2 linked regions of the Sus scrofa genome follow. The protein of the gene in region 2 interacts with the protein of the main gene of each other region in a pairwise test. Links are inferred from orthologs where the notes say so. Each region holds a gene or a part of one and is shown on either strand. Other genes may lie near its edges.

Region 1 (3,751 bases), on a different chromosome or scaffold from region 2:
TACAGGTTTTAAAAATCAAAGTACCACAAGATTGGCTATGCGTTGATAATTGAAGCTGGGAGATGGGTGCATGAGTGTTCACAATAGTACTCTCTACTTTTGGACATGTCTGAAACTTTTAATAATATAGTTTAAAAGAACATACTTACCAAAAGTGGGTGTTTAAAAGATGAGATTCATAATACTGGGTCCTGTTCTTAAAACCACATGCTCCAGTTGGGGATTCAAGAAAAGCACATGAGGAGTTCCCGTCGTGGCCCAGTGGTTAACGAATCCGACTAGGAACCATGAGGTTGCGGGTTCGATCCCTGCCACTTGCTCAGTGGGTTAACGATCCGGCGTTGCCATGAATTGTGGTGTAGGTTGCAGACGCGGCTCGGATCCCGCGTTGCTGTGGCTGTGGTGTAGGCCGGTGGCTACAGCTCCGATTGGACCCCTAGCCTGGGAACCCCCATATGCCGCAGGAGCGGCCCAAGAAATGGCAAAAAGACAAAACAAACAAACAAAAAAAAAAGAAAAGCCCATGAAAAGGCATATGTGAAAGTGTCGAAATCATAAAAGGAGAGAGGAGTAATCCATGTGGACTCTAGTAATTCATAAAATTTACATGAAAATAGTAAAACTTAGAAAAAAACCCCCTTTTTTTTTTGGCCGCACAGGCATGTGGAAGTTCCCTGGGCCAGGGATTAAAGCTGTTGAACCAGTGGGATTTGGAAGACCCTAACCACTGTAGTCGGATTCTTAATCCACTGTACCAGTGGGAACTCCCAAGTATTCTTTAGTTGTTCATTGTGTAGGCCATGTGGTCTACCTAGAAAGCCAAAGCAATGTAAAATAGGTATTCAAGGTGATGTTTAAAAATGGATACAAACCTTGTGGCTCAGCAGGTTACAAACCAGGGCTAGTATCCATGAGGCTGCGGGTTGGATCCCTGGCCTAACTCAGGGGGTTAAGGATCTTGAGCTGCAGTGAGCTGTGGTGTAGATCACAGATGCAGCTCGGATCCCTCCTTGCTGTGGCTGTGTCTGTGTCTGTTTTGCTGTAGGCTGGCAGCTACCCTCTAGCCTGGGAACTTCCAGGAGCGGCCCTTCAAAAAAGAAGAAAAAAAAAAAAAAAAAGATACAAAGAGGATAGGGAAACTTACTTAGAAAAACCGCGAATCCAGTCTCCACAAAGTGTTTACTTAAAAGCCATGAGAAAGTACATTGGCTCACCCCAGAAGCCCCCAAATTACTAAACGTGGGCCCAGCGGAGCTTCCCCCAGGTGCAGCTGGTCTGAACAAAAATAAGCCTTAGGAAAGCCCAGCCGCTTAGCGCGGGGAGTGGAGTTCGGCTTGACTCCACCCCCTCCACGAACTCAGCCCTGTGATTGGTCGTGACGCTTACCAAAGCTGCCCAATTGCATCCGAGCAGCTGCTTTAGCGTCTCTTTGTTTGCGGGGAGAAACATGGCGGATCGCCTGACACAGCTGCAGGACGCCGTGAACTCGGTGAGCAATTGTACTCGATTAGTCTCCGTCTTCTTTCCTGAGGGAAAGCAAGTTAGAAAAAGGGACTTGGGGGGCAAGCTTGGAAGTGGGGAGCGTCTTTCCGCAACGCACGCTCGGGTCGGCGGGAGGCGGCGCCGCGGTCTGTGAGGCCGAGGCGGCCGGTGGAATGGTGCGGAGCTGCGGGAGCCCGCGGCCTCAGCCTGCGAGGTGGAGGGTCTCCCTGCCTAGTCTCAAGCCTCACGGCCTTGTCATGTTTTCTAGGAACGGCTTTATTTTCTTGTCAGCGGTGCTTATGGGGTCGCCCCTCTTGCGGGGAAGAGAGAGGAAGCGGAAACTCCCTCCCGCACCCATACATTTTAACCCTTGGAGGGAAACCCGTGTTCTTAACCATTGGATTGGACCTTAGCGAAGAGTAATCCTTCGCCCAAATTTTCAGGTTGGGGCGGGAGTGACGGTAAAGTGAGTAATTTTGTTTCATCTCGGTTGGTTCCTGTAGACTAAGGGTCGTTGCATCTCTTGGCCACTCCCCCAGCGTAAGTCAAGTTTGGGGAAAACTGACATCTTTATGATAGTGAATCTTCTGATCCTTGTCTCTTTAAGTTTTTAAAAATGTCTGCCAAAAGTTCTACTCCCTATTAAAGTCAGATCTTGTAATTGGCCCTCTTACTTTGAACCTTCTGATTATTTTTCCTGTTATGTGAAGTGAAAGTGATGCAAACCAAGGGATTCATATGCTTATTACCGTTAAGAGCTAAATTGTTTTCTATCGGTAGTTACATTTCTCTCATTCTGTTTGTAATTTGATGTCCCAGAGAAGATGCCTATAGATGTTGACAGGAAAATCCAGGTACCTCTTGCTAGTTTTTTTTCTCACTAGAAGGAAATAGGCTGGCATTCTTGTTATTGCTCAGTCTTTGTACGTGAGCAATAAGTGTGAATGTACACATATTGAGTGTGAATCTGCATGTTAAAAACTGATCTACTTTGCCTATGAGGGCCAGCCCCTAAATGTCGATGAATTCACCAAGGTAAATTCTACCTTTGGTGACTTTTCTGGACTACTGAACAACCTACCTTGGGGAGACAGTCCTTTGAGGTTTTACAAAATCAAATTGTAATGATGCTACTTGATAGAAATGTTATTTTAGGGGAAATATCGCATAGTCATCCATGTCTCCTGGCCAGAAGGATAGTAAGAACAAAGTGAATATGGCCTTTACTCCAAAAGTAGGCATACTGATTTTGCAAAGAAGCCTCTAGGTTAACTAGTATGTGTAGAAGCACTATAATGTTTATGGAGAGATGCTCCTTAAGGAGTTTGCAGTCTGATTAGAAAGACGTCATATACTCAAGAGACATTTAAATAAATGACACAAAAGCAGTATATGGTTAGGGAGTTGAATCGAGTGTTTTCAGCTGTAAGTGCTGAAGTAAAGTGGGCTAGTGAGTGCTGTTAGGAGGGAGTCTTAGTGTTTTTCTGACTCATAATTGTAAAATTTTTAAAATATAATTTTATCCTCTGAGAACTTCATGAGAGCAGAAACTGTCTTGTTCACGCTCTAACTTAGAATGTTTATATAGTTATATACAGTTGATATATCATAGTGTTGATTTTTGATAAATATTTGGTGACTAACTGGATCTTGAGAGCTTCATAAGGACATAGTCACAGTGTTGAATATTCTTGTATTTTCTCTGTTCCTCATAACAATGCTGTAATGTGAGAATATTCCCAATTTAAAATTTCTTTTAAAACTCTATTTGCCAGAATTAGAATCCACATTTGTACAGCTTCAGAGCACTTATGGCCACTCCCTTACATTTGCAAAATGTGAGCAAATGCAGTGTTATCAGGAATGAATTTATCACTAGTCAGGAATATGAAAGAGTAGTAGGTAATGAACAAGTTGAGTTGACCTAGATTATTGAAAGCTTGGAAAGAGCCTTAAAGAGTTGGAGATTATCTTGAAGGCAATGCTAGGGTGAGCTCAAGATTTTTGAGCAGGGTTAAGTAAATGACATAGTGAGCTAGAAAATCATGAGGCTATTGTAAATAACTCTTATGTGAGGTAATTGGTTGAACTAAAACAGCAGCGCGATGGAGGAGGAAAAGGTAAAGATTTGTAGTAGTATTAACAGGATTTGAAGATGAAAGTTGAGAGTCTGAAGGTAGATTGGTTGACTAGAAGATTCTCAATACAAATTAAGTATTAAAGGAAACAGTTAACTTTGAGTTCTGTCATTCTAATGATGGCAGTCAAA
Region 2 (3,751 bases):
GATTTCTCTCCTAATAAACTCAACCAAATATGCTCTAATCCTATACACACTTGTACCATTTTTTTTCAAAAATTTCTCTGAAGGGGGAGTTCCCACTGTGGCTCAGCAGGTTAATAAACTGATTAGTATCCATGAGGATGCAGGTTCAATCCCTGGCCTTGCTCAGTGGGTTAAGGATCCAGCATTGCCATAAGCTGTGGTGTAGGTTACACATGCAGTTTTGATCTGGAGTGGCTGTGGCTGTGGCATAGACCAGCAGCTTCAACCCCTAGCCTGAGAACTTCCATATGCCATGGGTGCAGCCCTAAAAAGACAAAAAAAAATTTCTATGAAGGAATTTATCATGTTTCAACTTATATTTTATTCAATCACATGCATACTTTCTCCGTTCCTTTTGATTACAATTTTTCTAAGGCTAAGGACTATGTTTTAGTTATGAATCTTCAAAAGCACCTGGAACATAGCGGATGCTTTAAAAATGTTTTTCTACTGGAGTTCCCGTTGTGGCGCAGTGGTTAACGAATCTGTCTAGGAACCATGAGGTTGCAGGTTCGATCCCTGCCCTTGCTCAGTGGATTAAGGATCCGGCATTCCCTCCCATGAGCTGTGGTGTAGGTCACAGATGTTGCTCGGATCCCGCACTGCTGTGGCTCTGGCGTAGGCCAGCGGTTGCTGTGGCTCTGGAGTAGGCCAGTGGCTACAGCTCCAATTGGACCTCTAGCCTGGGAACCTCCATACGTCACGGGAACAGCCCTAGAAAAGGCAAAAAAAAAGACAAAAAAAAGAAAATGTTTTTCTACTGGCACTGCTGGCATAACTCTATCATTTTAAATTATTTAATCCATGGATTCAACAGCACATAACTGGTTACCTAAGTTAGCTATAGTCTGATTGATTTATGTAACTAAATAATATGTATTGATTTTAAAACACCAATGACACATATTTAATAATTCATAAAATATGATTTCTTGCATGCTAATTTAAGTTCTGTTTTCCAAGTAAGAAAGTTGTGTAATAATTGTAATATGACTATAGAGTGGCTGCATCATTACTCTAATCATAAGAATCTTTAAGAAATGCAGATTTACTTTTCCAGATTACTGAGAGTTACAGGTAATATGCTATATATGTGTTTAATTTTAAAAACTTAAAGAGAGATACATTATCTAAAATGAGAGAGAATCATGAAAGAAAAAAAAATATTTTCTCATTTGTAAGAACTTGGACTCCTTAAGGCATCTGATAAATATAAAAATGATACTTTCAAAAACTGTAAGAAGATGAAGATTCCTGATTGCTGAAGGTTTTACTTTATTCAAACATGTAGCACCAGATCATGTAAGGAGAATCTTATTCTGCTTAAAGCCTGAGCGATTTGATTTGCTGCTTTCTGTCAGTGTAGAAGTTGACATTTTCTACTCACACAGATATATTTTTCCAACATTGTAAAACTGTTCAGAAAATGAGCTATGCTTGTAAAATCCTTCTTCCGTCTTATCACTAGGTGATTTTTGGCAATTAACCCCATCTTTTAATGCTAAATCAACCTAAAATGCCAAAAATACAATGAATACTTGTACATATGTCTTTCTAATCAGATATAGGAGTACTTATATCCACTAAGAACTATTCATCCAGAAAATGATTACAATGATTTAAGTGGGTATATTATAAAATTTCAATTGTACTTAAGAACTGCATAATGTTTGAAGCTGCTCTGAGAACTTGTATCCTACAAACTGGTAAAATAACATTGATCTGAGCTGCCTACATGTTCTTTTGTTCACCTTTTAAAACTTATAACAGGGAACCCATTTTCTTTTTTAAGGCTGACACAGTTTATGCTTCATCTTTTGACCTTCATTGAAGAAAGTTTGTTTTCTGTATCATATAATGACATTTGTATACCCCAGCTTCTATTGTGCTATTTGAGGATACTTCATTCAACAAAGCTTTACTGCTGTCAGTCTTGCCTTGTCTTGTCAGAAACACATGACATATTAGAATTTAAAAAAATTCATAGAGGGTTGATAAAGTTACTAAGTACAAACTATTAATTTAGGTGTAGGTGGAACCACAAGATATAGGGCAAGAACCTGAGGCTAGTAACAGTGGAGTTTGTCACCATCCCTAGGTCCTAAGAAACAAGGGAGAAGTTATTGGAACTCAGAACATGACAAAATTATGTAGAGTAGGCTAACTCAAGAATATAATTTGAGAAACAGAGCCAGCCCAAGGCAATGGTGCAGGAAAGGATTGTGGAGAATAAATACCCTATTCTCTTTCTCCTTTCTCCCTTCAGTCTCCCAGAGCTCCCTGTAGGTTAAACCCAACCAGAAGACAGAAGGTACAGGAACCCTGCCAATGTGGCCTACAGAGACATCAGTCAAGTAACAGGGAAGGAAAGAGCACATACCTAGAGAGGAAAACAGCAGATATCCAACAGAGCTCCTATGCTATATACACAGTGAACACCACACCCCCTGACCTTTAATGTTCCTTATAGGCACAGCCTCAATGAAATAAGTCAGTATAATAATGGGTAGATTAATTCCACCCTTTTCAATACTTGCCTCAATGAACTGGCATCATTTTGTAGTGTTTAATAATTCTCACCTGTGTTGCCGGGTGCTGCTTAATTACGGGAGAGTTTCTATTGAGGATTTTTAGCCATCTTTTGAGTCCATAGCTGTTGCAGAACTTTGGCTACCATGTTAGTTTTGGATTACGATTATTTCTTAAAGTGGAAAAAAAAAAGTGAGGCACAGTTAAATCTTGATTTCCTAGTCAAAGTCAACAACACAGCCTAGGAACTAAAATTTTTAGCACCCATCATTTCAACTCTCTCACCTATATTTGCTCTATGTAAATTAACACCCACAAAACTGAATAGAAGATTAGCACTGAACTCTTGCAGACAGGTGGAGAAGAATTATGACATCCGGCAATCTGTGAAATATTCTTGTATTTTTAACTGTGTATTCTTGTGTTTTGGGCTGTGTATGGGGCCTTTCCTGAATTGCTTTCCTTCCCTCCGTTGCAGCAATCTCCTTACAACCTTTTCCCTTTGGTCAGAAAAGGGGGGGAAGTGCCAACATAATTAGTATGCCAGAGTCAGTAATACTCCGCTGCCAAATGGCTTCTTGATTCAAATTAATGAAAACATGGCTAGCTGTGTCAACAATGGGGTCCTCAGCACCAAGAGGCCACAGCTCATGTCATGAAGAAGACGGCCCAATTCCACTTCCAAGATTGTGTCACTGAAGAACCTTTCCTAAGATATGGACCGGGTTTGCTTTCTGATGTGCTTCAGTTTCCTTGGGGGTGAGGGGCATGGAGTCTTTTGTGATCACTCTATTATAAAACATTCTTCACACACAGAGGAGATGCACTTGAGCTACTTCCCCCAAGTCAACACAGCTCACCCTAATGAAACACTGAGTATGCGCCAAGTTTTGTGCTAGGTGCTAGTGATAAGATGAATGTCACCCTGCTGACAAGGAGACCAATGCATAAAGAGACAAACACACACAAATGATTGGTCCTTGTGGAGCTCAGAAGAGGGAAAATAGAGTCTTTATTGGAGAGATAAAAGCTGTTTGGGGCTGGATATTAAAGAACGGATGAATATGGCATTCACAGATGGAAAAGTGAGAAGAGGAACTTCCAAGCAGAAGTGATGACTAGTGCAAATTGTGCAATTATTTGCAGTGAGCACAGGACAAGTCATAAAACCAGTAACTTCAGC

Evidence for each region. The genes of interacting proteins can lie anywhere in the genome.
Region 1: the proteins of melanoma-associated antigen B4-like (region 2) and MED21 interact in binary tests that used the Homo sapiens proteins (3 or more experiments, as listed by UniProt). The two-hybrid records come from large-scale screens. The link is inferred for Sus scrofa from reciprocal best matches to the Homo sapiens genes MAGEB4 and MED21.

The regions. Positions count from the first base shown.
Region 1 is NC_010447.5:46,734,062-46,737,812, reverse strand, and holds the start of MED21 (mediator of RNA polymerase II transcription subunit 21), read left to right. Parts: upstream 1-1,431; 5' UTR 1,432-1,447; coding exon 1,448-1,489; intron 1,490-3,751. UniProt on the Homo sapiens protein: Component of the Mediator complex, a coactivator involved in the regulated transcription of nearly all RNA polymerase II-dependent genes.
Region 2 is NC_010461.5:25,894,413-25,898,163, reverse strand, and holds the start of melanoma-associated antigen B4-like, read right to left. Parts: upstream 2,741-3,751; 5' UTR 2,620-2,740; intron 1-2,619.